Oryctolagus cuniculus: one gene and its partners. The protein of the gene in region 3 interacts with the protein of the main gene of each other region in a pairwise test. Links are inferred from orthologs where the notes say so. Each region holds a gene or a part of one and is shown on either strand. Other genes may lie near its edges.

The links.
Region 1: the proteins of SPG21 (region 3) and TFG interact in binary tests that used the Homo sapiens proteins (3 or more experiments, as listed by UniProt). The two-hybrid records come from large-scale screens. The link is inferred for Oryctolagus cuniculus from reciprocal best matches to the Homo sapiens genes SPG21 and TFG.
Region 2: the proteins of SPG21 (region 3) and ARL6IP1 interact in binary tests that used the Homo sapiens proteins (3 or more experiments, as listed by UniProt). The two-hybrid records come from large-scale screens. The link is inferred for Oryctolagus cuniculus from reciprocal best matches to the Homo sapiens genes SPG21 and ARL6IP1.
Region 4: the proteins of SPG21 (region 3) and S100B interact in binary tests that used the Homo sapiens proteins (3 or more experiments, as listed by UniProt). The two-hybrid records come from large-scale screens. The link is inferred for Oryctolagus cuniculus from reciprocal best matches to the Homo sapiens genes SPG21 and S100B.
Region 5: the proteins of SPG21 (region 3) and CCDC102B interact in binary tests that used the Homo sapiens proteins (3 or more experiments, as listed by UniProt). The two-hybrid records come from large-scale screens. The link is inferred for Oryctolagus cuniculus from reciprocal best matches to the Homo sapiens genes SPG21 and CCDC102B.
Region 6: the proteins of SPG21 (region 3) and TRIM54 interact in binary tests that used the Homo sapiens proteins (3 or more experiments, as listed by UniProt). The two-hybrid records come from large-scale screens. The link is inferred for Oryctolagus cuniculus from reciprocal best matches to the Homo sapiens genes SPG21 and TRIM54.
Region 7: the proteins of SPG21 (region 3) and CTPS2 interact in binary tests that used the Homo sapiens proteins (3 or more experiments, as listed by UniProt). The two-hybrid records come from large-scale screens. The link is inferred for Oryctolagus cuniculus from reciprocal best matches to the Homo sapiens genes SPG21 and CTPS2.

Annotation. Positions count from the first base shown.
Region 1 is NC_091435.1:55,302,295-55,305,794, forward strand, and holds part of TFG (protein TFG), read left to right. Parts: intron 1-838; coding exon 839-979; intron 980-3,500. UniProt on the Homo sapiens protein: Plays a role in the normal dynamic function of the endoplasmic reticulum (ER) and its associated microtubules. Required for secretory cargo traffic from the endoplasmic reticulum to the Golgi apparatus.
Region 2 is NC_091450.1:20,962,133-20,966,346, reverse strand, and holds the start of ARL6IP1 (ADP-ribosylation factor-like protein 6-interacting protein 1), read left to right. Parts: upstream 1-1,414; 5' UTR 1,415-1,568; coding exon 1,569-1,604; intron 1,605-3,533; coding exon 3,534-3,667; intron 3,668-4,137; coding exon 4,138-4,214. UniProt on the Homo sapiens protein: Positively regulates SLC1A1/EAAC1-mediated glutamate transport by increasing its affinity for glutamate in a PKC activity-dependent manner.
Region 3 is NC_091443.1:87,989,013-87,991,575, reverse strand, and holds the end of SPG21 (maspardin), read left to right. Parts: intron 1-312; coding exon 313-453; intron 454-1,378; coding exon 1,379-1,495; 3' UTR 1,496-2,063; downstream 2,064-2,563. UniProt on the Homo sapiens protein: May play a role as a negative regulatory factor in CD4-dependent T-cell activation.
Region 4 is NC_091435.1:236,259-240,229, forward strand, and holds the start of S100B (protein S100-B), read left to right. Parts: upstream 1-1,171; 5' UTR 1,172-1,318; intron 1,319-3,971. UniProt on the Homo sapiens protein: Small zinc- and- and calcium-binding protein that is highly expressed in astrocytes and constitutes one of the most abundant soluble proteins in brain.
Region 5 is NC_091441.1:10,047,477-10,051,492, forward strand, and holds the start of CCDC102B (coiled-coil domain-containing protein 102B), read right to left. Parts: upstream 2,801-4,016; 5' UTR 2,681-2,800; coding exon 2,617-2,680; intron 948-2,616; coding exon 868-947; intron 1-867. UniProt on the Homo sapiens protein: During interphase, forms fibers at the proximal ends of centrioles to maintain centrosome cohesion. During mitosis, dissociates from the centrosome following phosphorylation to allow centrosome separation. Contributes to CROCC/rootletin filament formation.
Region 6 is NC_091433.1:175,678,324-175,681,823, reverse strand, and holds part of TRIM54 (tripartite motif-containing protein 54), read left to right. Parts: coding exon 1-15; intron 16-2,823; coding exon 2,824-2,919; intron 2,920-3,454; coding exon 3,455-3,500. UniProt on the Homo sapiens protein: May bind and stabilize microtubules during myotubes formation.
Region 7 is NC_091453.1:2,941,364-2,945,428, reverse strand, and holds the start of CTPS2 (CTP synthase 2), read left to right. Parts: upstream 1-1,265; 5' UTR 1,266-1,438; intron 1,439-4,065. Other genes in the region: TXLNG (gamma-taxilin), read right to left, coding at 994-1,095. UniProt on the Homo sapiens protein: Catalyzes the ATP-dependent amination of UTP to CTP with either L-glutamine or ammonia as the source of nitrogen. Constitutes the rate-limiting enzyme in the synthesis of cytosine nucleotides.

The DNA of each region.
Region 1 (3,500 bases), on a different chromosome or scaffold from region 3:
TCACCCTCCAATGGCCGCCGCTGCAGCCGGCGCACCGCGCTGATCCGATGGCAGGAGCCAGGATCCAGGTGCTTTTCCTGGTCTCCCATGGGGTGCAGGGCCCAAGCACCTGGGCCATCCTCCACTGCACTCCCTGGCCATAGCAGAGAGCTGGCCTGGAAGAGGGGCAACCGGGACAGAATCCAGCGCCCCGACCGGGACTAGAACCCGGTGTGCCGGCGCCGCAAGGTGGAGGATTAGCCTATTGAGCCACGGCGCCGGCCTTTCCTTTAATTTTTGAAGTAACCTCATATAAGGAACAAAGTAGAGGTGATAAACAAGCCAAAAATATTAGATTTCTTGTAGAAATAAGGAATAGGTCTGTTTAGCTGAAGGAGGTAACATGAGAATTATGAGAAGTGTTTGGATCCTTGAATCCTGAACTCTAGAGGACTGGACTTAATTTATGGGCAGGGGAGACTCATTGAAGAATGAAGTAATGTCTTTGGTTCATCTACAAAATAGCTGACATGAGGCTACAGAAACTGGTATTGCAGACATGGGTTTGATTTTTGTAGATAGAGGTTAGGATTTAGGAATATAGCACACTCTAGTTTATAGAGAAGGATTTCCAGTTGTAGATTTTGCTTCTTAAGACTGGAGCAAAAGAAAATATCAAGTACATGCAGTTAATGTAAAATGTTGCATTTATGGAGATATTCTATGATTATATGTAAATATATATATATTATATTATTATTTTATTTATTTATTTTGTCTCTCTTAACCAAACTTAGTAATTGAGCTTGCTGGGCAAAGACCTTAAATGGGGTACTAAACTGACTTCATGACTATCCAGGGCCACCAAGTGCTCCTGCAGAAGATCGATCAGGCACTCCTGACAGCATTGCTTCCTCCTCCTCAGCAGCTCACCCACCAGGAGTCCAGCCGCAGCAGCCACCGTACACAGGAGCTCAGACACAAGCAGGTCAGATTGAAGGTAAAATAGAGTTACACACGCAGAAATGTTTATCGGAGCATTGCTGGGTAGCAAACAGCTTACATATGCAGTTACACTGTGAACACAGCTGTGAAGAACTTCGATTTACTGAGTTGGCATGATTTGTTGTTAAAAAAGATATAATTTCTTTTTGATTATTGAAGAGAAAACAAAACAAAAATTATAAAACATTTATATGATATAATTATAGAATGGAAGATTAGGAAGGAAGCATACCAGTCACTATAGCTAGTAGTGACCTTGGTGAAGAAAGTGAAATTCAGAAGGGGGGCTTTACATTTTATTTTGCATAATATTTACATGTTACTGTATTTCCCTCTCTTGTCCCTTCAGCATCTCTGCATTATTTTTGTAATTTAAAAGGATGTTAAGAGTAGAAGTGTAAATGTCTTTAAGTATACTCTTTTTGGAAAGCCTTTTCATGTTTTTATCCAGTTAGCAAAATGACTTTAATAGAAAAAAAAGTAATATTTTTAAGCCAAATTGCTCTAAAATAGTGTATGTTGGATTAACAGGTTGAGGTCTCGGTTTTGATCACCTGTCACAATAAAATGTGAAAACTGGACTAAACCACTGGTTTTATAAGGATATTTTTAGTCCTGAATGAAATGTAACTCGGAAGCTCAGAATTTAAAACGAATGAAGGGGTCATTGTTGTGGTTGAAGAGGATTCAGAGGCCACAAGCCCAGAGTAGGCCCCTGAGGTCCCACACTGGAAACTGTGAGGCACTGCAGAGCATGGCAAATGTCAGTGCTGAATACTTACTTTAGGGTGCCTTCCAGATGCCAGAACACTATTTTGGTGAATTGCCCACGGACCCTTAAAAACACATGCCACTTCGAAACAGTGACCAGGTAGTGCTCCCAAGTATTTGTATAAGGGGTCAGGTGGTGGTATGGTAAGTTTTCAGCACCAGAAGCAAGTGATTGAGGTTATCAGTAACATTAAAAACCAAACCAAACCAAACCTAAAATGAATTGGCTGCTTTGCGAATAGAATCTTGTCCTGTGGTGATACTTTCAGAGCTGTTCTTTGAACAAATGCTAGTCATTAAACACTAGCAGGTGGCATTTTGCTTATAAATCAGTGCTCTGGGAAGAATTTTCAATTTTTTAACTAACTCAGTTACAGTCTTCCTCTGCACCAAAATGCAACTGTCGAAACTAGAACAACAAAGCGGAACTGTAGCAGGTGGGGATGAAACAGGGAAGCAAAAGCAGAGTTTGGATACGAGGAGAGTTTAATACTAACTCAGGTGAACTAAAACTGTTTAAAAACAGTACTGCTTTAATTCAGTTTATATTATTGTAGAATGCAGTTGGAAGGGTTACAAATAAGGTTGCAGTATCTCAGATTATGAGAGGTTGGTTTTAATTGAGTATTTTCAAATAGGTAAGAATTGTAAAATGAAGGTTTATATAATAAAAATTCTCTCCTGCCTCTTTTGCCAGAGGCATCAAATTAATACCATTTGATAGTCATTGAATTTGCATAGATGGCATCAATAGTTTGCCTTGCTACAACTGTTACTTTTAGGTTACATTAAAACATACAATATAAAAATTAGCTATGTGACATCAAAAGATTAATAGCTGATTTCATTCTAAATCAGGCTTCTGAAAGAGTTAAATGGGTACTATGTGTAGTTTAAAATTTTCTCTTAGCTACATTAGAGTTTTTAAAAAGTTAATTTTAATTAGGTTTTATTCAGCTCAACATATGTAGTACATCAACATGTAATCCCTGTTAAAAAGTTATTAAATTGCATTTGGCACTGTGTATTAGGAATCTGGATATGAGACTGATTTTGAAACAGTTCAAACACATTGCAGCACATTTCAGGTGCTCAGTAGCCACTTGATGTGAGACTAATGTATTGGATAGTACAGTTTAGGGATGTAGTAGTAATTTGTAGATTCCTTAAATGCATTGTAGGCTATTTTACTGAATACTTTTTGATGTATAAAGAGTACCTGACATCATTAGTTGCTTAGATTAACTGCTGGTTGTAATTTGAATAGAATTATAGACATAGAAATGTATTACTTATAATTGATTATATAGCAGTGTTTTACAGGATGTGATAATTCAAAATAAAACAATTTTGAGTTCTTAAATCCCATAAAAGGGACCTTGGAATTGTAAAGTTTTCCCTTCCAAGACTGTGGTCTTAATGTGTTGTTTAGTGGAAAGAATTAATAAAACATTGCTTTTACCTTGTGATAGAGATGTTCAGGGAAATGTGTCCTTAAGCAGTTTCATTGTTGTGTGAGTATCATATTATGTTCTTCTACAAACTTAGATGGCTATGATGTCGCTATGTGATACGTATAATCTTGGGAGACATTATTGTGTATACAGTCTGTTATTGACTGAAACATTATGTAATGCATGATTATTGGACATTGTTAAAAAAAACCAAAATGGACAATGTTACTGTTCTTCAGATAAAGCCAGCGCCATTCTTATTGGAAAAATGCATGTAGTTGGGTAGTTGCC
Region 2 (4,214 bases), on a different chromosome or scaffold from region 3:
CTCCACTCCTGTCAGGTTTTCCCAGCCCCATTTGGCAAAGGAACCAGTGGATGGGAGCTGCAGCTCTCAATGTAAAACAAACGAGGTCTTTATTGACTGTACGTTACCTATACAACCTGAACTTTCCTGCAGCGTCCCCCATAGCAGAGACCTCTAACGTTGGGGAGGCCAGGTGATCGCCCCGCCCCCAAAGATCGCGGTCAGATTTGACACTTCCGCTAAGTTCACAAGGCTCCTGGTTGGTCCAGTTTGCTCAGGGCTTTTCTTTGACTTCCCTGAACTTTTCAGAACCTGGTTGTTATTTGAAGAGTGCTTTCAGGATAAAGTCGGTGGCATTAATACACATGGGTTTATAAGGATAAAGCGTACAGTACTTTCCCTGAGACGAACCTCTGTCTAGGCCAACATTTGGCGTGATTCAGACAAGAGCTTGCTAACGCATTTTGAAGTCCAAGATGGAAAAGATGGAGAAGGATCTCAACAGAGTTCATCCAGCTCTCTCTAATGGAAGGAAGGCGCTATTAATCACTTGGTACAGGGGGAGTTTGTAGTTTAAACCAAGGGGCCCGGCGCTGTGGCTTAGCGGGTAAAGCCGCCGCCTGCAGTGCCAGCATCCCATTGGGTCACCAGTTCCAGCTCTCTGCTGTGGCCTGGGAAAGCAATGGAAGATGGCCCGAGTCCTTGGGCCCCTGCACCTGCATGGGAGCCCCGGAGGAAGCTCCTGGCTCTGAGCCCCCCTACCCGTTGGGGCCACTTGGGGAGTGAACCGGAGAATGGAAGGCCTCTCTCACTCTGCCTGCCTCTCGAATAAATAAATTAAAAAAAAAAAAAATGCCCCATGAAGGATTTCTCTCTCACTTTGACACCCACCCCCACCCAAAGACCTCATTCCTGAATACGCTGCGGCAGAAGCCACATCAACAGCTCCATTCACTGGTTCTCAGAACCTCACGAGGTGGGCACGAGTCACAAATCTGGGTTAAGCCGCTCACAGGCCGGGGACGGCGAGGGACCGCGGCGCTGGGAGACGGACTCGCGGTCGGCCCGCCCCAGCCACTGTCCCGCGCCGCGTGCCCATCTCTGCCCTCCGCCTGACACCGCACACCTCTACGACTACTCAGTTTTCCAGAGGGGTTCCTTAGGCGCTGAGCGGAGCCAACGCCGGGAGGGTCCCGCGGCTACGGTGGCGTCCACTCTCGGCCAACCAAACCTCCGCCGCCGGCAGCGACAGTTGAACCGCTTCCGCGAGCCCTGGGCGGGGCGCCGCACAATCCCTGGGCGCCCATTGGTTATTCCGTTTCCCCGCCCCCTCTGCCCGGCGCGGCCCCTCTCTCCTTTGACCTCGATTTCAAGTCATGCGCTGAGCTGTGGTTGGTGGGGCTTTCCTGAAACCTGCGCTCGATTCACCCAATGAGGAGCGAGCGTCGCGGGTGCTGTCGGGAAAGGCGGCCGGCCTATATAAGCGACCTGCGGGGCGTTCCCTCGCGCTGTGTTCACTGTGCGGGTTTCCAGCGGAGGTTGAGGTTGGAGAGGCGGCTCGGGTTCGCTGAGACGACTCTTGACGGACGATGGCGGAGGGAGATAATCGCAGCACCAATCTGCTGGTGAGTCCCGGAGGCCTGCCCGCAGGAACCGAGCTGGGCCGGCCGGTGGGCTCGGCGGGGACGGTCGTCGCGGCCTCGCTCCTGTCCCCGCCACGGGCCCGTCCCTCCTCGGCCCAGCCCGGGAGACCCCCGTCCCTTCGGGGTTCGTGGGCGGCTCCCGGTGGGCGGTGCGCGGCGGGGCGAGGAGGGCGCGTGATTAGTCACTGCGAGTGGGGGTTGAGGAGTGCGGGACGGGGGCTGCGAGGGGCCGCGCGGTGGCTTTCGGGCCTCGCCGCGGTCCTGTCCGCCTTGGATCTCACCCTGGGCGAGCGCTCGTCCTCCTCCGTCTAAGACTTGAGCGGGGATGGAGGGTCCCAGGGCCACGGCCGAGGATTTCTGTTGGAGCTGGCGCAGCTTACAAGGACAGGGAGGCTGCGAGCTCCCCATGGGGAACCGGGCCTGGGCCTGGAGTTGGGAAGGCCGGGGGCTGGGAGCTCACAGGACGGCTGGAGAGGATCCGGGGGAGCTGCAGCGAGGCCCTGCCTTGGGTGGACGTATTGGATTCGGATTTAACTGCACCGGTCCAGGCAGGACCCGAGAGAGCGTTCCAAGGTCCCAGATGTTGGCGAACTCAGAAGGGCGGCTTGCATTGGGCGTGGTTTTTTGCTTTGCGCTGCTGCTTTCTAAGAGAATCGGTGCAAGCACAGCGAGGCTGTCCAAGTCCTGTTGCAATAGCCGAGTCTCACCTGGAGCCTGGGGTCCCCAGCAGAGCAGCCCGACTGCAGGGACAGCAAGGCCTTTGACTTCCCGGGGCCGACGCTGTCAACTCCTTTGCGTCTCAGTTTCCTTATCAGCGAAACGGGGATGGCAACAACCCCTTCTTTCTAGGGCGATTGAGAGGATCAGGCGAAGTTTAAGGTTCTTGGCACATGTGATCTCTGATTTAACTAGTCGTAAGCGTGAGCGATAAAGCCAGGACACCTAGTTCTAAGGGGAAGTACTCACAGGGACGTTGGGGTTTCCTGTTCCAGTGTTTTCTCCTTTACCAAGATGAGCTTCAGGGAGTTTGTGGCCTGAGCTCGTCTTCAAGGCCCACTTTGGGATGTCAGGGCTGCAGGAACACTGGAAGTCTACCCCGAGCGACAGGAAGCGCTGTAGAATGGCACTTGTAATTTGGAAAGCTGTTTTCCTTAATTTTGCAATGGAGCCCACTATCTCAGTGCTCCCGTTACACAGAGCCGTTTTAGAAGGTGAGTGCGGCTCAGGGGAAGGCTTTCCTAATGGATTGAGAGTAGGATTGAGATGGATGAAGTGAGTGAGCTGCGGGCCAGTTCCCACCACCTGAAATGAACAAACCTGGAGTGGTCTAATCTGATTAGCACTCTGGGTGCTGCCACTGATTGCCTGTCCACGCCTGGGAAGGTTTGGAGCCCACTTGCTTTCACTGTGAAATGAGTCGCATCCCTACATTGCCAGCTCTGTAAGGGTTGAGCTCCATCATGTATGTGAGGAGTCGCCCCGTGCTTGGATTCACTACAGGGTGGGCTCTGCCCAGGAGAAGATGGCCCGAGTCCTTGGGGCCCTGCACCCGCGTAGGAGATGGGGAGGGAGCTCCTAGGCTTTGGATCAGTGCAACTCCAGCAGTTGCAGCCATCTGGAGGGTGACCCAGGGGATGGAAGACCTCTCTCTTTCTCTCTGTCTCTACCTCTCTCTGTAACTCTTTCAAATAAAATCTTAAAAAAAAAAAAAAAAACAAGGAGAGGCTTCCCCTAGCCCCCTGGTTGATTCCCATCTTTGGTACAAAATTGCAGAGTTCCTCAGAAAGGAAACTGTTGAAGATTGGAATGAGGAGGTGTTTCACCTATTGATTGGCCTTGGGAAGATGTAACTGTTAGAACCACGGAGATGCTGAGTGATGAAATGGCCGCTTTCCCTTCTGCCCCGTGTAGGCTGCAGAGACGGCGAGTCTGGAGGAGCAGCTGCAGGGCTGGGGAGAGGTGATGCTTCTGGCCGACAAAGTGCTGCGGTGGGAGAGAGCCTGGTTCCCGCCTGCCCTCCTGGCTGTGGTCTCCCTGGTGTTTCTGTAAGTGAGCCGGGGGACTCCATGGGCTGCGTGCGCTTGGTAGCGCTGAAGGCTCTGTTCAGGGCAGCACCTTAATGAAGCCTTTTGTAGCCTGTAATCCATCAAGAATGCCTTTTCTTACAAGCCGTGCTGGGTTTCCACAGTTGGTAGTACTTATGTAAGCTTGGTAACTTGACGCAGTTGAATAACTCGGTGACTCTCAAGCCTTTTGGCTCAAAACCATTACCATCTTACCATTACAATCTTAAAAAGTACTGGGGGTTTCCGAAAGCCTTTGTAGGTTGGTATTTATATCAGCCACTGCGGCTGTGACGTCATCATGCTATGAAGCCTCTGGAAACCACTGGTGAGGAAATTAGTGCCAAATAACGTCTCTGAGAACCACGGCACTGAGTGAATTGTGAAATTAAGCATCTGCAGCCAGGCATAATACTGGCTGTTTTCTAAGCTTCTTTAATTTTTTTTAACAGGATTATCTACTATCTGGACCCATCTGTTCTGTCCGGTGTTTCCTGCTTTGTTATGTTTTTGTGCTTGGCTGACTACC
Region 3 (2,563 bases):
TAAACATGTACAGTTTTAAGAAATGCTGACTGTTCACTATTAATGTTGTTAATTTAATTAAGTACAGCTGAGGGCAAAGGAAATTCACAGTGGAAGCCCCCCACACCCCCAAAGAATGCGAGAGACGGTTGGCTGCAGTCAGTAGCTAATGTCTCAGATGGGAGTGAGAAATGAACAGGGCTCAGCACTGGGAGGCGGCTCGGGCTCAGCACTGGCTCCTCGTTAGCATGAGGACTTGGGGTGGCACTTTCCACAATGCGAGAAGAGCACATTAAAATGCCAGCAAGTTTCAGCCTCGTGTTTCTGTTAAAGGTGTTTGATCAGAGTGCACTTTCAACCGAAGCGAAGGAGGAAATGTACAAACTGTATCCCAACGCCCGGAGAGCTCACCTTAAAACAGGAGGCAATTTCCCATACCTGTGCAGAAGTGCAGAGGTGAACCTTTATGTACAGGTGAGTCCCAGCTGCGAGCACTTCGGGCCCAAAACGTGTGGTTTGCAACATGAAGCTTTATTTGTGCTGTTTTTGGGGGTGGGGTGGAGTAAGATAATTACAGAGTTCTCTGTAGCAATGAGGCATTGATTTCATACATGTGAGGGGCGTACACAATTTAGAGAACTCAGTCGGGTGCATTAGAGGCCCTTCTGTGACTCCGCCCATTATCCCTTTTCTAGAACAACAGGCCCACAGCCTCGAGTGGAGGTAGTCATTGCTAGGCTACGACCTTGCCTCCTGGGCAAGGTCAGTCAGAGCCGGACACCAGACCCAAATGGGGTCAGTCTGAATCCATGAAGCAGCGCCTTCTTGACCTGACATTAACGCATAAACCCCGCCCCCTACACACGCCGACACGCGCACACACACATGAAGACATTTCAGTCAACGATGGGCCAGACCGCCTGTCCCGCGGTGGTCGCATCACCTGGTGTGAGTTCACACAAAGCGAGCTTGTCTGCTGGTGCTTCTCAGAACGTATCCCGTCGGTGCGGGGCACGTGATTCTATGCGAATAGCAGTTTGGCAGGAAGTAGCAAAAGCAGTCACGTACTTTGAACAAGTCATCCCCTTGTGGAAACAGATCCTCAGGAGAGGATCCTAAACACGGGGAAACGTGTCGGGCGGAGATCTTCATCACGGCAGGAAGACTGGAAGGACCCAGCTCCCAGCACAGGTGGGAGGGGCAGGAGCGTGCGAGGTGCAGCACGGGCGAAACAGTGGCAGTAGAGATCGCGCATACAAACTCTCCGCCCCCGCTGCTCCCCAGTTCTTCTGTAGTTAGCGTGTGTGTAAGGGTCGCTTTCCTCCCGAGCTTCCCGTGGGAGGCCGCGCGCGTGTCGTCCCGTCAGCAGCCACTGAATCCGCCACGCTCCTCCCTACAGATACACTTGCTGCAGTTCCACGGAACCAAGTACGCGGCCATCGACCCGTCCATGGTCAGTGCCGAGGAGCTCGAGGTGCAGAAGGGCAACCTCAGCCTCAGCCAGGAGGAGCAGTAGCTGCGGCTCCCGCCGTGGGTGCCGAGGCGACCCGACGTGTCCTTGTGCGGTCGGCGACCCGGCCTCCCGGCGCGGCAGGCTCGCCGGTCCTCCGTGCGTCTGGGAAGCAGGACTGATCACATCCGGTGAAGCCCGCGCAGCGGTCCCCTCTTTGGTTTTTAGCTTCGGAGTCCAGGAAGTTCTTTGCAAGACGCCCTTTTAAGGGTTGTGAGAACTGTGCTACCGGAAGTCCTCACCACTGTGTTCTTGAGCGAATGTCGATTTCTGAGGCTTGGGATTTTGTGAACTCTTCTCTCCTTTCTTTTCCTTTTCTTTCTCCCTCCTTTCTTCTTCCTGCTTTTTATGTTATTTTCTGTAAGTGCCGCACGTGCCGACTGTGTGTCAGAAGGACGTTGGCTGCCGTTAGGCCTTCCTGGGTGTGACCGCGTCCGAGGGCCAGGGCTGGCACCCCACTGGGTGCGCTCCTGTGACCCAGCTGCTTTCACTTTCCAGCTCAGCACATGTTCCGAGTGCCCGCTCTTGTCTTTCTAGATGATTACAGTCATTTGGAATAAAAATTCGATTTCAATGAGTGTCTTGTAATCATTGTCACTGCCCAGGCAGGACTTTGGAGAAACGGTGCTGTGTGGCTTTGGGAGGTCACTCCGTACCCCTAAAGCAGTGTGCTCAGCACAGAACAACAGTAGCTGTTGGGCACGGAGCCACTGCTGCGTGCCAGGGACTTCCGTCAGTCTGTCTTTGCCCTGAATAGAAGTTGTCCACACACCTCACAGAGGATGGTGGACTGGGCCTGTCCTGTCACTCCTGGGCAGCTCTGTTTCTTCTCCAAGCAGACCCCCAGGACTCCCCCACGGCCTCCCAGCCTGGATTATCTCGAGCGCATTTCTGATGGGACATCCGTCTGTGAGTGTTTGCGCATGTGCTCTGAGGAGGGAGAGCAGCAGGAATGGCACTGGCACACGTCACGGGTGCCCAGGACCTCGTCCATTTCCTCTCACGTCTATCAGTGCCCCCTCCCCATTACCCGTCGCTGGGTTCTCAGAGCTGACTTGTCCTAGTCGTGCGCCG
Region 4 (3,971 bases), on a different chromosome or scaffold from region 3:
GTTGTTCTTTCGTCTGCTCGGCCCTCCCCGGGTTTGCTGCTGGTTCTTCCCGGGTTGGCTACCGTCCCTTCCACCTCCGTGGAAGGGCGGTTCCCCCTGGCCACATTCCCCACTTCTGCAGGGGAGCGGCACACCGCCGGCCGGCTCTCTCGGGGGCTGCACAGGTGTTCCCCTTAGATGTTCCTTCAGATAGATGTTCCTGGTGCGTGTTGTCTCTCTCCTCCTTTATAGTCCTCTTCCACCAATCCCAACTCTGCTACCCACACGCCGAGTACGCTGCTCTCCTCCAATCAGGAGCAGGTCCTGCAGCTTGTCAAGTTGGTGAGAGGCAGCTGGGTAGAAGCTGTTTGCTCCTCTCCCAGCGCCATATTGTGGGAGAGCAGATGCATAGAATAAGTCTTAATTCCAGTAACTTAGTCTAGTCTGAGTTGCTCCCAGTTGCTCCCCACAGTTTCCACATGTGAAGATGGCAGCAGGAAGTCTGGACGTGACTCTCCCATGGCTTGTGGAGGCCTCTATGGGAGGCATTCTCTCTACACCTCTGAAAACAGCCTTCGGAGAGGATGTTTCCAAAATTCTGTGCAGCCGTGACAGTCGGTGGCCTTTCAGTTAGGGTGCAGGTGGAGGCCTGGGCTCCACGGGTGCATGTTCTCTGTCTAAGAGACTTGAACAAGGACTTTCCCAAACACGCACTGAGTCCCTGCAGACACTGGGCCCCGCAGCTTTTCTGAGGTGCCGTTTGGCCCAGAGCTGACCACTGCCATACTAATGTCCCCAGAGGCCAGACCAGGAGCGGCTGGCAGACAGAAGCAGCTCGCTGGCCTCTTCATTGGAAACCAGCCCACGGCCACTTCATCTCTTACATTCAGCTGTGCGCGAAGCCTCTCCTTCTTGGCTGTACATTTGCTTTGTTTGAGTCAATTAATCCATGTCCCTCTCCTCTCCCTACCCCCAACCTCGCTTTTAGAGAAACATCAATATTCATATAATATGTAAAAAAAATTAAACACAAAAAGCTGACTCCCCACTTCCTGCCTCATAGGCCCTCTTTCTTCCTTAGTCCCTGTGTGATCTTGGCTTCCCAGCAAGTGTGGTGGGGGCGGGGGGAGCATTTGGTCAATGCGGCCTTGTGTGCAGGCCTGGCTGCCCTGCCGCCTCCGCCCTCAGCCCTGATTGGCTGCCTCGGCTGCAGTGGGACTGCAACAGTCCTCCGCCCTGTCCTCCCTGGAAGGAAGGGATAAGAGGCTGCGAGCCTCAGCCACCACTCGGACGCCGCAGCCGAGAGAGGACGCCTGCAGCAAGAGGTGACCGGGAGGAGGTGAGGACACTCAGGACAAAACTGCTCATTTCTTGGGGATCGGGGTGGGGGTGGCAGAGTTGCAAAGACTGGGAACTCTGGGCTTCTGAGATAACGGCGGCATTTCTCGAGCTTCCGTGGCATCACCTGTGTTAACCTTGACTTTGCTGTTGATCTTGTTCAGCTCTGTGGGCATTTGGTTACCTCAACACTAAGCCAGCAGTGCTTGTGCCTGTGCTGTGATTTCTACAGTTGAGAGAAACCCCAGGTCTAGTGGCATTTCCCCAGAGGCACTGCAAGTACTGACTCTTCCCGAACTCTTGGGAGAGGAAGCTTTCGCTTTCTCTGGGGCTGAGAATCCTGGAGAACCTAATGCTGGCTCACCGCCTGTCACAGGTGTTTCACCCCTCCTGTTCCTCCTCCCTCAGCCCTGGGTTGGTTTCCTAGTTTCCTTCAACTTTGAATGCCAGGGTCCCCAAGTACCCCTGAACAACACCCAGAAATCACACAACAGCTGAGAAGTCTTTACAAATTATGGATTAGGTCGAAGAAAGTGGGTTTTAACTTCCCTAAGTCTTCAGTTTCTTGTGGAGAGAAAACCTGCATCAGAGGAACACTCACCTTATGTGTAATGTGCCTTTTTAAGGAGTTAGGGTCCAAAAGTGCTTTTGTTTTTATATAAAAAGACTAATGTAAAACATTCACAGAATTAAGCAAGGAAAAAAATAGATGCTTATTCCCATTTCTCTTAAAAGGTATGCTATAAGCCATCAGCTATTTCTGAACTCAAAAGGAAGGATTTAACAGGAAAAAATTTAAGTTAATTTGTAATGTGGTTGTGAAGAAAACTGTACTTTATTCATTTATTTTAGTTAGAGGGAGTGAGCTAGAGACAGACAGACGTAGATCTTCTGTCTGCTGGATCACTCTCCAAATGCTCACAGAACCCCAGCACTCGATCCGGTTCTCCCATGTGTGTGGCAGGAAGCAAGTGCAGGAGTCACTGCTGCCGCCTCCCAGTGTGCCATGAGCAGGAAGCTGGAACTGAAAGTGGGCCCAGGACTGCACCCCGGCTCTCAGTATGGGATGCAGCTGTCCCAGGCAGTGTCTGAACTGCTGAACCAAACACCTGCTCCAAGAAAAATACATCTTATGGAGTTCCCTAAGATATGGAATATTTATTTTATGTTTTCCCTTTTTTAAAAAAATCTCATACACTTACATAATTTAATTACCCCTTCCCCAAATTATCACAGACTTTGAGAAGGAAACATCAGTATGATGCAAAGATTATTTTATTCCTTAAAAAATATAGATTATCAATTGAAAACTTGAGCGCAAAGAATAAAAATGTAGGAAGTAGGGGCACAGCAGGTTAACGCCCTGGCCTGAAGCGCTGGCATCCCATATGGGTGTCGGTTCCAGAACTGGCTGCTCCATTTCCAATCCAGCTCTCTGCTGTGGCCTGGGAAAGCAGTGGAAGATGGCCCAGGTCCTTGGGCCCCTGAACCCATGTGGGAGACCCAGAAGAAGCTCCTGGTTCCTGGCTTCAGATTGGTGCAGTTCCAGCCATTGCAGCCAATTGGGGAGTGAATCATCAGATGGAAGACCTCTCTCTCTCTCTTTCTCTCTGCCTCGCTGCCTCTCTTCTCTCTGTGTAACTCTGACTTTCAAATAAAATAAATAAATCTTTTTAAAAAAGTAGGAAGTGTAAATATTTCAATGTATATAAATGGTTCTATCCACCTGTGATATATCAGATTGTTAGGGACTTAAGAGCAAAACATTTACACTGATTTTTAAGAGATGACATATGCAAGATGGGAATGATTTTTAACAACATGTAATTTTAAAACATTTTAAATTATGATAGTGCAGAGGTTCTTCGTTTTTATTTTTAAAGATTTATTTATTTATTTGAAAGGCAGAGTTAGAGGGACAAAGGGAGAGGCAGAGAGAGAAAGATCTTCCACCTGCTGGTTCACTCCCCAAATGGTCACAATGGCCACTGGGCCAGTCTGAAGCCGGGAGCCAGGAGCTTCTTCCCAGTCTGCCATGTGGGTCCAGGGGCCCAAGCACTTGGGCCATCTTCCACTGCTTTCCTGGGCCATAGCAGAGAGCTGAATCAGAAGTGGAGCAGCTGGGACTCGAACCAGTGCCCATATGGGATGCCAGCACCGCAGGCAGCAGCTTTACTCACTAGGCCACAGCATCAGTCTTTGAGGTTCTTATTTAATGATTAGAACTCAAGGCCAACATTTGATAAATTTCTCTGCCTAACCATCTCAGTTTTGTGAACCAACTGATAATCCATTCTTACAAAATATGATACACAGCGATGATTGACCAGATATTCTGTTGCAAACCATGGTATGAGATACCTGTTGTGAGAGAAGTAGGAAGCTTCTTACTTTGATTTCTGCAGAGAAACTCTTTTAAAACAATGACTATATACTAAGTTACAAAGAACATTTTTTCCTAAAAAAAAAAAAAAAAGATTTATTTGAAAGACTTATAGAGAAGCAGATGCAGAGAGAGAGATGTTTGCCACCCGCTGTTTCACTCCCCAAACAGCCGAAATGGCTGGAGCTTTGCCCATCCAAAGCCAGGAGCCAGGCGCTTCTTCTGGGTCTCCCACGTGGGTGCAGGAGCCCAAGGATTTGGGCCATCTTCC
Region 5 (4,016 bases), on a different chromosome or scaffold from region 3:
TGGCCACAGCAGAGAGCTGACCTGGAAGAGGGGCAACTGGGACAGAATCTGGCGCCCCGACAGGGACTAGAACCCGGTGTGCCGGCACCGCAAGGCGGAGGATTAGCCTAGTGAGCCGCAGCGCCGGCCATATATAATTTTTAATAAAAGAAATTAACTGTTGGCTGTAAGATTTAGATTTTTTTTCTTAAGAAAAAAGATACTGGACTGTTGCTATCACTGAAAGTATAATATCCCTGTTCAGGAATCCTTTGACTACAGACATTGTCATTTCTCTATGCACTCTCAGTATGGTTTAGATTACGAAAGAGGCATATCATGTTGGGTAACCAACTAAGATTCCTTTCTGAGAAAATGTTAATAAATCTTCCAACAGCCCTTTGAAATTTCCTTTGGGTGGAAAATGATTCCCAGCTGAAAACACTTGAACTGTTTGATAATCTACAAATATTTTATCACCTCTTCAGGTGATGGATTATATTCAGAAATAGTTAATGTAAGGATAACTCTAAGGGCACAGAAATTATGCAAAGTTCAATTCTTCTATAAAAAGCTCTTAATGTGGTAGTGATATATTGAAAGATTGATTTCCAAGCATACATCTGGAGTCTATTTCTAAGGATTAGGGCAAGATGTCACACAATGTACATTTTTTAAATGCTACACGTTAGTAATAACATTAAAGTTCTACTCTGTGCTGTGGTTAGATGATTCACATGACATTGTAAATATTATGATTGAGTATCTGATATAACAGAGGAATCTTGGCATCTTAAGAAAGCACAACATCTTAGTCCATTTTGTGCTACTATAACAGAATGCTCTGGACTTCCAGTTTATCAAGAATTTATCAGAATTATTTCTTACCGTCTTGGAGGCTGGGAAGTCCAAGATCAAGGGACCCATATCTGCGAGGACCTTTTGATGCATCATCCCACGGCAGAAGGCTGCAGAGCAAGAGAACGTGAAAGTGAGAGGATAGCTCAGGATAACTCACTCACTCCTGTGAATACTTAATGACATTAATCACCTCGTTAGGCTTCTCTCTCCAACACTGTTGCATTGCAGATTAAGTCTGCAATACATGAACTCTGGGGACACATTCAAGTCATATCTATCCTTGCCCCCCAAAACTTATGTCCTTCTCACAATACAAAAATACATTCATTCTATTCCAATAACCCCAAGTCTTTTTCCAACATCAGAAGTCCAAAGTTCAAAATTTCATCTAAAATCAGATGAGACTTAAGCATGGATTATCCTGAGACAAATTCCTTTCCAACTGTGAACCTGTGAAACTAACAGGTATGCTTCCAAAATACAATGATAGAAGAACATAGGATAGAAACTTCTGTTCCAAAAAGAGAACTAGGAAAGAGCAAAGGAGTAGCCAATCTCAAGTAAGTTTAAATCTGAATAGGGTAAACATTAAGTCTCAAAGCAGGAGACCAAGCCACTTTGACCCCATGCAACACAACTGTGGACACTATGTCAGGATATTAGCCCTTGAGACCTCAAGCAAATCTGACCTTACGGCATGACAAGATTCAGTCTTCCCAATAGTTCGCCCAGGTTGGAAGTTCATGTCTTAAAGTTTTCCCAGGCTGAAGTGGCACCCTGTTGACCTTTGGTTCTAGAGTTTTTGGTGCTTCCCCGTTCTCAAGATCTACCACACATCTCCTTAGTGGGGACTCTGCAGCGACTCCTTCCTACAGTCCCATTGCACATTGCCCTAATGGAGGTGGTCTATGATGGCTCAAGCTCTGCGTCAAGTCTTGAGGGTAAGCATTCAGCTGATTTTGGCCTCTGCTGCTTGGTTTCTTATTCAGCTGCTAGTTAATGCACATCCTCAGAGGCAGAAGGTGATGGCTAAAGTACGTGAGTCTCTGCTACCCATAGGAGAGATCCTAATTGAGTTTTAGCTTCTAGCTTCTGCCAGCCCTGGCTGTTGCAGGCATCTGGGGATTGAACCAGCGTGCAGATATCTAAGTAAGAGGAGTATGAATATTTACTAGAAGTGTCCTCCTGGGATCCTAGAATGTCTGCAATGTCCTGTGAATTCTAGGTGGAGGCCACCATGGCTCCATGCCCTTATATTCCGTGCACTTGCAGAATTAATATCACATGAGCACCACTAAGGCTTATGGCCCTGCCAGACTGGCAGGTGTAGACACGCCTTGGCCCACTTGAGCTATGGCTGGGCAGCTGAATTTGGGGAATGAAATCCAAAGGTGCCTCAAGACAGTGAATGCTAAGTAGCCTCAGGTCCTTCTCTGGCAAACTTGCCTTCAAGTTCTGACCCTAGGCCTTGGTGGGAGGTGCCTCATGTCCCAACGCTGTTGCACTGTGGATAATTTTCCAACACATGAACTAACATCTCATGAAGAGTATGCCACTTTAGCTTGGAATCTCACAAAAATTAGGTTATGGTCAAGGCTATTAGAGGACAATGCAGCTTTGTTAGTCATAGATGAAGCGAGGAGGTGCAGCACAGGGGGAGGTAGGACAAAATAAGGTGTCCAACTTAGTGGACTTGGAAAAACTAAAACACCTCATGCTTCCTCCATGTGTCCTGGCTCTGCTAAGCACAGGGCGTAGTCAACAGGAAGAATGTACCTTTCCTGTGGTCAGGCTGGCTCCCGAAGAAGGAAACAGAAGGATGTGGCCTGCGTGAGCACATTTCGTTTCAGCTTCTCAGACTTCCAACATGGTCAGCACTTTCACTGCTCCCCCTTCCACTCTGGGGGATGACGGAGAAGGTAAAGAGGCCCAGTGTTTAGGGAAAGTCTTTCTTGCTGATTCTGTGAGCTGGGAATATGAGGTCTGCTCCAACGCTGCTCAGCTTTATCACTCTCCTAGCTCACTGGCCTAACCACACAGTCAATTAGGGCCATGACTCTTCTCTGAGAGGAAACAAAACCAGCTTCCAACTTCCAGCTTCAGCTTGCAACGCTGTACTGCACTGCACCTCAGTGACGATTCCTACTCCCCTGGCTACACCCTTGATGTCACTGGGCAAGAAACATCAGGTTCTTGCTGCTCTCTGCTGGACAGCCGACTCACCAGATGAGAACTGGGTTTCGTTCAAGCTGGCAGCCTTGAGGCAAGAGTGACCCCTGAATCCAAAACATGCTCTGTCTGCCCAAGCAGCCACCAAAAAGGGCTTTTAAAGGGAAGGAGGAGCTGCAGGTGGAGGTCAGAAGAAACAATGAGTGCAATCAACTGACAAGCATATTTGCAGGCTTTGTTCTGCTGATGGTCTGATGAGGAAAGCTGGGGCACTAGCCAGCTGGAAGGTTCTTGTGAATGCAGCTCAACTGTTTGCACTTGATGGCCGCATGCTTTCTCCTTAGCTGGGTGTGAGGTCTGCCTTTCCATCTCCTTTCAGTGGGCTCTGAAGTTCTTATGCAGACATTATTATTCTAAGACACAGGCACTTCATAATATCAGTAGGTTTGTTTTGTTTTTCTTTTTAAATAGGAAAATTGAAAGGAAAATATCTTCATTACTGTTACATTAATACTGTGCTCTGCTTACCACTGCAGCATAAATCATATCTCAAAACACAGTAAGATACAACACTCATTTTTTTAAGGCTCACTGAATGAGCCAATGTGAAAGTCTTGTCTTTGCTCTACCACCTCTGAGGCCTTGATCAGAAGGACTCAATAGCTGGGGATGACTGGACAGCTGAGGAAAGATTTGGATGCTGTTTCATACACATTTCTTATGACTGAATGTAGGCGACTGAATCTGCGGGATGGGACCACACCTGGTGCCGTGGGCTAGAGCTCCGATGCATTGCTGCTTCATGTAGACTGTGGACTCCAGTGCACTTGGGTTGCTTACACAGCAACTCAAGGCTACAAAGCCAGCAGCCCAAGACAACCAGGAGGCAGCTACATGGCCTATCAAACTTAATCCAGATAGTTAGGCATGTCACTTCTGTTGCATTTGATGTTTTCATCAAGTCCCTGAAGGAAGCAAAATTCAAGGGGAACAGACATAAACTCTCA
Region 6 (3,500 bases), on a different chromosome or scaffold from region 3:
TACAAACGCCAAAAGGTATCCAGCAGGGAGGGAGTAGAGGGTTGGGGACCAGGACTGGGTCGGCCTCTTATTCCGCTTGGTTTTATTTATTTTAGTTTCATTGCCAAAGCCAAGAAACAAACATGGATCACCCATCTTCTGGTTCACTCTCCAAATGCCTGCAATGGCCAGGGTTGGGCCAGGCTGAAGTCAGGAGCCCAGAATTCAATTGAGATCTCTCACGTGGGTGGCGGGGACCCAAATACTTGGTTTGTCACCTGCTGCCTCCCAGGAATGCACCAGCAGGAAGCTGGAATTGGAAGCAGAGATGGAAATGGAACCCAGGCACTCCAATATGGGATGTGGGCATCCCATGCGGCATCTTTGCTGTGCCAAAAATCTGCCCCATCGCTTGGTTTTAAGTCAAGATCAGGATCAACATTGTGGTGCAGCAGGTTAAGCCACTACCTACAATGTCAGCATCCCATATGGGCACCAATTTGAGTCCTGGCTGCTCCACTTCGGATCCAGCTCCCTGATAATGTGCCTGGAAAAGCAGCTGAATACAGCCCAAGTGCTTGGGCCCCTGCACCCACATGAGAGACCCGGATGAAGCTTCTGGCTCCGGGCTTTGGCCTGGCTCAGTTCCAGCTGTTGCAGCGATTTGGGGAGTGAACCAGCAAATGGAAGATTTCTCTCTTCCCCCCTCCCACCCCGTAACTCTGCCTTTCAAATAAATAAGTCTTTTAAAAAAGCATAAAGAGATATCCTCCATCCACTGATTCACTCCCCAGATGGCTACAACAGACCCTACTGGGCCAGGCTAAAGCCAGGAGCCTCCGACATGGAGGAAGGGGCCCAAGCACCTGGGCCATCTTTTTTTCTTTCTTTCTTTCTTTCTTTCTTTCTTTATTTTTTTAAAGATTTATTTATAAGTCAGCTACACAGAGAGAGAAGGAGAGGCAGAGAGAGAGAAAGGTCTTCCATCCACTGCTTCACTCCCCCAGCAGGCTGCAATAGCTGGAGTTGCTTGATCTGAAGCCAGGAGCTTCTTCCAGATCTTCCCACCAGGGTGCAGGGGCCCAAGGACTTGGGCCATCTTCTATTGCTTTCCCAGGCCACAGCAGAGAGCTGGATTGGAAGTGGAGCAGCCGGGACTTGAACCAGCACCTATGTGGGGTGCCAGCGTCACAGGTGGCAGCTTTACCTGCCATGCCACAACACTGGCTTCTGATCATGCATTTTTGACAAAGAATCAAATAAAGCTTTTAGAAATAGAAACATGGGGCCAATACTGTGGCGTAGTGGGCTGAACCTCCACCTGCAGCACCAGCATCTCATATGGGCACTGGTTGGACTCCCGGCTGCTCCTCTTCTGATCCAGCTCTCTGCTGTGGCCTGGGAAAGCAGTGGAAGATGGCCCAGGTCCTTGGGCCCCTGCACCCACATGGGAGACCTGGGAAAATGCTCCAGATTCCTGGCTGCAGATCAGCTCAGCTGCAGCTGTTGCAGCCACCTGGGGAGTGACCAGCAGATGGAAGACCTCTCTCTCTGTCTCTCCCTCTCTTTGTCTGTAACTCTACCTCTCAAGTAAATACATAAAAAATATTTTTTAAAAAAGAAATATATGGCCGGCGCCGCGGCTCACTAGGCTAATCCTCCGCCTTGCGGCGCCGGCACACCGGGTTCTAGTCCCGGTCGGGGCGCCGGATTCTGTCCCGGTTGCCCCTCTTCCAGGCCAGCTCTCTGCTGTGGCCCGGGAGTGCAGTGGAGGATGGCCCAAGTGCTTGGGTCCTGCACCCCATGGGAGACCAGGAAAAGCACCTGGCTCCTGGCTCCTGCCATCGGATCAGCGCGGTGCGCCGGCCGCAGCGCGCCGGCCGCGGCGGCCATTGGAGGGTGAACCAACGGCAAGGGAGGACCTTTCTCTCTGTCTCTCTCTCTCACTGTCCACTCTGCCTGTCAAAAAAAAAAAAAAAAAGAAATATAAACTTAATTGTTGGAATAGAACATTCAGGGAGTTAATTAAACGACAGATTTCTCTGAAGAGGTAATTAGTGAATAGAACAAGAGGACTGAGAACAGGATGCAGCCCTGGGGGATGAGAGGTTGAGAATGAGAATGTCTAACGGGGGGGGGGGGCGCGGTGTCGTGGCTCCAGCTCCTGTGGCACCAGCTCCCATATGGGTGCTGGGTTCTAGTCCTGGTTGCTCCTCTTCCAGTCCAGCTCTCTGCTGTGGCCCGGAAGGGCAGTGGAGGATGGCCCAAGTGCTTGGGCTCTGCACCTGCATGGGAGACCAGGAGGAAGCACCTGGCTCCTGGCTTCGGATTGGTGTGGCGCTGGCTGTAGCAGCCATTTGGGGAGTGAACCAATGGAAGGAAGACCTTTCTCTCTGTCTCTCTCTCACTGTCTATAACTCTACCTGTCAAATAAATTAAAAAAAAAAAAAAAGGAATGTCTAACGGGCTGATCAGACTCCCAGAATGAGAGAACAGAGCCTGGAGAAGAAGCAATATTATCTGAATGACAGCCACTAGGAATGCTGCAGAACTGATGGAAGACACGAATCTACAGATAAAGCATCTAGCGCAGTGGCTGGCCTTTGGAGGGTGTTTGGAGAATGTCAGTTCCTTTGGCGATGGAAGGCTTGTGTCTCCTTCCAGAAACCAGAGAGTGTGCTTCCCCACTTCCTGGATGGCTCCAAACCTTCTAGATCTCTGTAGATGCACTGATGGAGGGGTGGGGGAGGGAGCACATCTCGCCCTTGCAGCCCCAGCTGGGGAGGGAGGGGAGCAGCTGTGGGCCAGCTCCTCCAGCCCTAAGCTGGCCTGTGTGTGCGGCAGAGTGAGCTCAGTGACGGCATCGCGATGCTGGTGGCAGGCAACGACCGCGTGCAAGCAGTGATCACACAGATGGAAGAAGTGTGCCGGACCATCGAGGTGAGCCTGGGCTGGGCGGGGGCGAGGGAACACGTGGGCTGACGTGGACAGTGCAGGCTCCCAAGGGAACTGCTCCTCTCTGATCTCTGGCTCACACGGCCAAAACATTTCTGGCCTCCTAAAAATGTTAGCATATGCTCAGCCAGGTCCGACTCCCAGCTCTGCTGCTCAGTAGCTCTGTGACTTTGGTTCAGTTATTTAACTTCTCCATGCTTTGGTGGTGTTGGTGATGATGATGATCATGATATAGTGGCCGGATCAGTGGGTCTTTCTGAGAATTTAATGGATCCATACAAGGGAAGCCCAGGGCCAAAGATACAGAGAGCCCCTGGTGACGGCATTGCTTTAAAGTATCCACTGTTGTTTCTGGAAAGATTGGCAGGGCGGATTCCGGTTCTGCCATGAACTCGCCCAGAACCACGTGCACCTTGCTTTCTTGCCTCTCTGAGTCACACTGAGAAGCAGGACCAGCATCCCTGCTCTCCCAGCCACAGGGTTTCAGCAGCGCCCTTCTTCTCTCCCTTGGATGGTCTAGGACAACAGCCGGAGGCAGAAGCAGTTGTTAAACCAGAGGTTCGAGA
Region 7 (4,065 bases), on a different chromosome or scaffold from region 3:
TTTTCAAACTCCACCCACTGAGCGCAACAAGTGGAATTCTCCCATTCTGAAAAAGGTCTCGATTTCTCCTGTATCCAGGGAGACACTGAAAACTCCTTGACGTGAGTCAAGTAAGGCAAGGGGAACGGTCCAGCCAAGGCCAGGGTCAGGGAGGCGCTCAAGTTTCCGTTCACCAAATGAAAAAAAAAAAAAAAAAAGAAGAAGAAGAAAAGAAAGAAAGAAGGGGTGGTGGGGAGGAGGACAGCAGGGCTGGGAGGACAGCTATCAGGCAACACTGCTCCCAAGTCTGCGGGACCAAGGTCCCCTGGCATCGCCTCTCCATCTCCGGCTCCACGTGCATCCAGGCCTGTGGCACGCAGACGAGCCCCAGCGCTTGGGTCCCGGCAGCTTAGTGACCCCCAGGCCCCACGGTGCTCACCGGCCCGCTGTCCGCGCAGTTGCGGGGAGCGCAGAGGGCGGGGGAAGGAGGACGAAGCGCAGCCCCGGCTCCCGCGCGGTTATCTTACTGCGCAACAGCCTCACCAGAGCTGCCCGCGTACATCCCGCAACGCGCCTTGCGCACCTGCCGGGTCCAAGCAGGGTGAGCCGTGATCCCATTGAGCCCCAAGACGGCAGCGCCCGGCGCCGGGAGCACGGTGACGAAAGGGGCTGAGTGAACACCTGGCGCCCGGGGCCCAACAGTGCCTCCCGCACGTGGCTGTCACACCTGGCGCGCCCCTGCCTGGCACTCCGTACCCCTCACACTCGGGTGCGCCCCTGCCCTTCCCCCCTCCGCGTCACACCCCTGAATCTTTACCGTCGTTCCTTCCCCCCTATCCATCCTGGTCCCACCTCCCCCGCACCTGCTCCCACTGTCGTCAACCCCGGGAGGGAAAAGGGCCGGATGTTCGTCCCATGGCTAAAGGTAAACCGGAGAGAGTGAGGAGGTGGATCCCGAAAAGGATAGCCCGAGCATGCCCTCGGTCCAGCAACGAGGGCGTCCCCCCGACTGACCTTCTGTCGCGGGCCGCGTCGCCGTCCACCCCGGCTGGCCTCAATAGCCTCCTCGGCGCCGCCGCCTCTTCCCCGCGCTGCCTCCTCTACCCGCGTCGCCATGAGGTGACGGCAGCAGCCAAACAAGCGGCCCGACGAGAGGCACGGAACCTCTCAGGGCCTTGCGCCCCGCCCTCAAACCCTCCCGGCCTATCGCCGTATGTTAATCTTCCCACGTGACCGGAGGAGGTTGGCCCCTGAGGGGATGAAGCGAGATGGGGGTGGGGAGCATTGAATTCTGGGCTGGGCTTCTGCGAGGGCCGAAGGGCAGACAGAGGCCATGAGAGTCTGCGCGGACCCGAAAAAGGACTCGGAAACGTACTACAAATCCCAGCAGGCAGCGCAGCCACGACTCGCAGACCCTCAACGGCACTGAAGCGTAATACGGCGTCCTGAGAATGGGAGAGTAAGTGCTGTGCTGCGTGTGCAGCCTAATGGGTCTTGTAGTTTCTGCGGGCGATGTCCCGGTCCCGGAAGGTACACATTATCCTTCAGGGAAACTTTTAATATAGTCCAATACTTGAGAAGGAGCGGGGCCAGGGACGCTTTGTTGTGTTTTTGTTTTTGTTGCTGTTTTCTGAAATTGAGTGCGAATGGTTTGCTGATAAGGAAAGATACTTCGCTATGTTCATGGCGGGAACTGTAAAAGATCAGAATTTGAGGTTTGGGGCTTGGAGTGCTGCCCTTCCACCAGTTACTAAGGCTTCTCTGTCTCCCCCTCCTACAGAATGGGGCTGCCTCCTATTCACCTTGGCTGAGCCTTCAGCCCAGGACTTCTCGCACAGTTCTTTGCACTTAGCTGGACCCTAATTCATGTTGATTGTATCCTCCTCTCTGCCAGTCATTTCATTACTTCAGTTTTTCTACAGACTCGGTTTGCTGAATCAGTTTTTTTTTTTTCTTGATATGATTGGGAAGGAGAAGAGTTTTCCTCGGAAATATTTACTGTTTCCATATGATGGGAGTAAATCTCTAATGGCAGAGCCTCTGAAAGTTACACACCATTATGAAATCCTAACATATGAGAATTGTCTTAAATAACTCTTCATCAACGTGCAAATTCTGCGCCATTTTTTATAACAATTGAATACAAAACAGTGGTAGCAGGCACCAAAAAATTGATAACATATGAGAGCAAATTTCAACATTGGGGAAATTCCATCCATTAATTTTAATTACATTTATAAATTTGGAAAAATTACCATTCATCTGCTTTACGAGCAGAATACCTCAGTACAGCTTTGAGGCAGGTGGCCATACACCAGACTCTATAAAGCTGATGGTCTCAGTCACTTTGTCTCATCTTCTTAAAGACATAAGCCCCAGCAAGATGCAGAAGGAATCTATCATAATGCATTTCTCCAGGGAATTGAGTGACCAAATGTACAATAGTTAAATGATGGTACAATAGAATACCATACAACTACTAAAATGATAAGCACTTTTTAATTGATCTAGAGAAAAAGATTTCTTTTAGTAAAATTACCTGAGACTATGTTAATAGATGTTTAGAAGAGTATTCATCAAAATGTTAATAGTGTTTTCTCTGGGTGGTGAGATGGCAACTATTTTCACTTCATGAGTTTAGGCAGTCTTTAAGTATGTATGGAACAAAAAATGAATAGTTATGTTCACCAAGAAATTATTTTTATATCCCTTGTCTATATTCCCATGGAACAGTGATCTTTCTACATTTTACTTGTTGAACATGATGGTTAGTGGTATATTAAGCCTGTGATTTTAAAGTAAACTGAAAGTATGTTATTTCAAGAATTAAAGGAAAAAAGAAAGGAAGACAGGAAGGAGGAATTGAAAGAGAGAGGGAGGGAAATATGCTTATCTGCTTAGAATTGTTTCTATGAAATACATGAAATCTGTTCTCTATATTAATAAAAAGTTTTTGTTAAAAAAGGGAAAAAAGAAAATGAAATATACAAGTGACCTAACATATAGCTACTCATATATTAATATATAAATACCACGTGATATATGCATATGTGTGTATACACAAGCATGTTCACATGCGTGCACATACCAAGGAATGAGAATGAAGTGAAAAGATAGGAAAACAAGATGGTGTCATGATAAGTTGAATTTATTATATACATATCTTAAGGATTGTACACAAGCTGGAGGTGAACCAAATTTTTATTCTGAGCTTCTTGACAGCTGAGAAAATAGGAAAAAGCACAATTTACCGATTGATTCAAAACATCACAAAACAAAAACTAGTTGCTCTTATAATTTCTTTTTCTCAAAAGCAGGAGTTGAGAACTCCATCTGGGTCTCCCAGATGGTTTCTTTTTTTTTTAAGATTTATTTATTTACTTGAAAGAGTTACACACACACACACACACACACATACAGAAAGAGAAAGAGAGAGAGAGAGAGAGAGGTCTTGCATCCACTGGTTCGCTCCCCAGATGGCCTCATCGGCTGGAGCTATGCCGATCCGAAGCCAGGAGCCAGGTCTTCTTCTGGGTCCCCCATGCAGGTTTAGGGGCCCAAGTCCTTGGGCCATCTTCCACTGCTTTCCCAGGCCATAGCAGAGAGCTGGGTCAGAAGTGGAGCAGCCAGGTCTCGAACCAGCGCCCATATGGGATGCTGGCACTGCAGGCGGCGGCTTTACCTGCTGCACCACAGTGCTGGCCCCTCTTATAATTTCTTTAACATAGGTTCTGTTGCTCTTAAAATCCATTCACAAGGTCTTTGATGCTCTTCCTTTGAAAAGATGGAGTCGATTCCCCTTGCCTTGAATATGAGCCAGACTTAGAGATTTTGTTTCTAAGAAATACAGCATAGCAGAAGCAGAAGAATGCAGGAAAGTAACTTCCAAAGCAAAGTGAGAGAAAGGATAGCTTCTGCCTGGCTCTCTGGGTCTTGGATGACTCTCTTCTTCCTTGGATCTGGCTATCCTGATTTTTTGATAGACCCATTCTTTCATTAAAGTGTTATATTACAGGCCTCCAGAGAGGTTACTGTCAAGCCTTAGCCCAAGGCTTTGGAAAGCACTTTGCTTATCTCAGCCAGGAT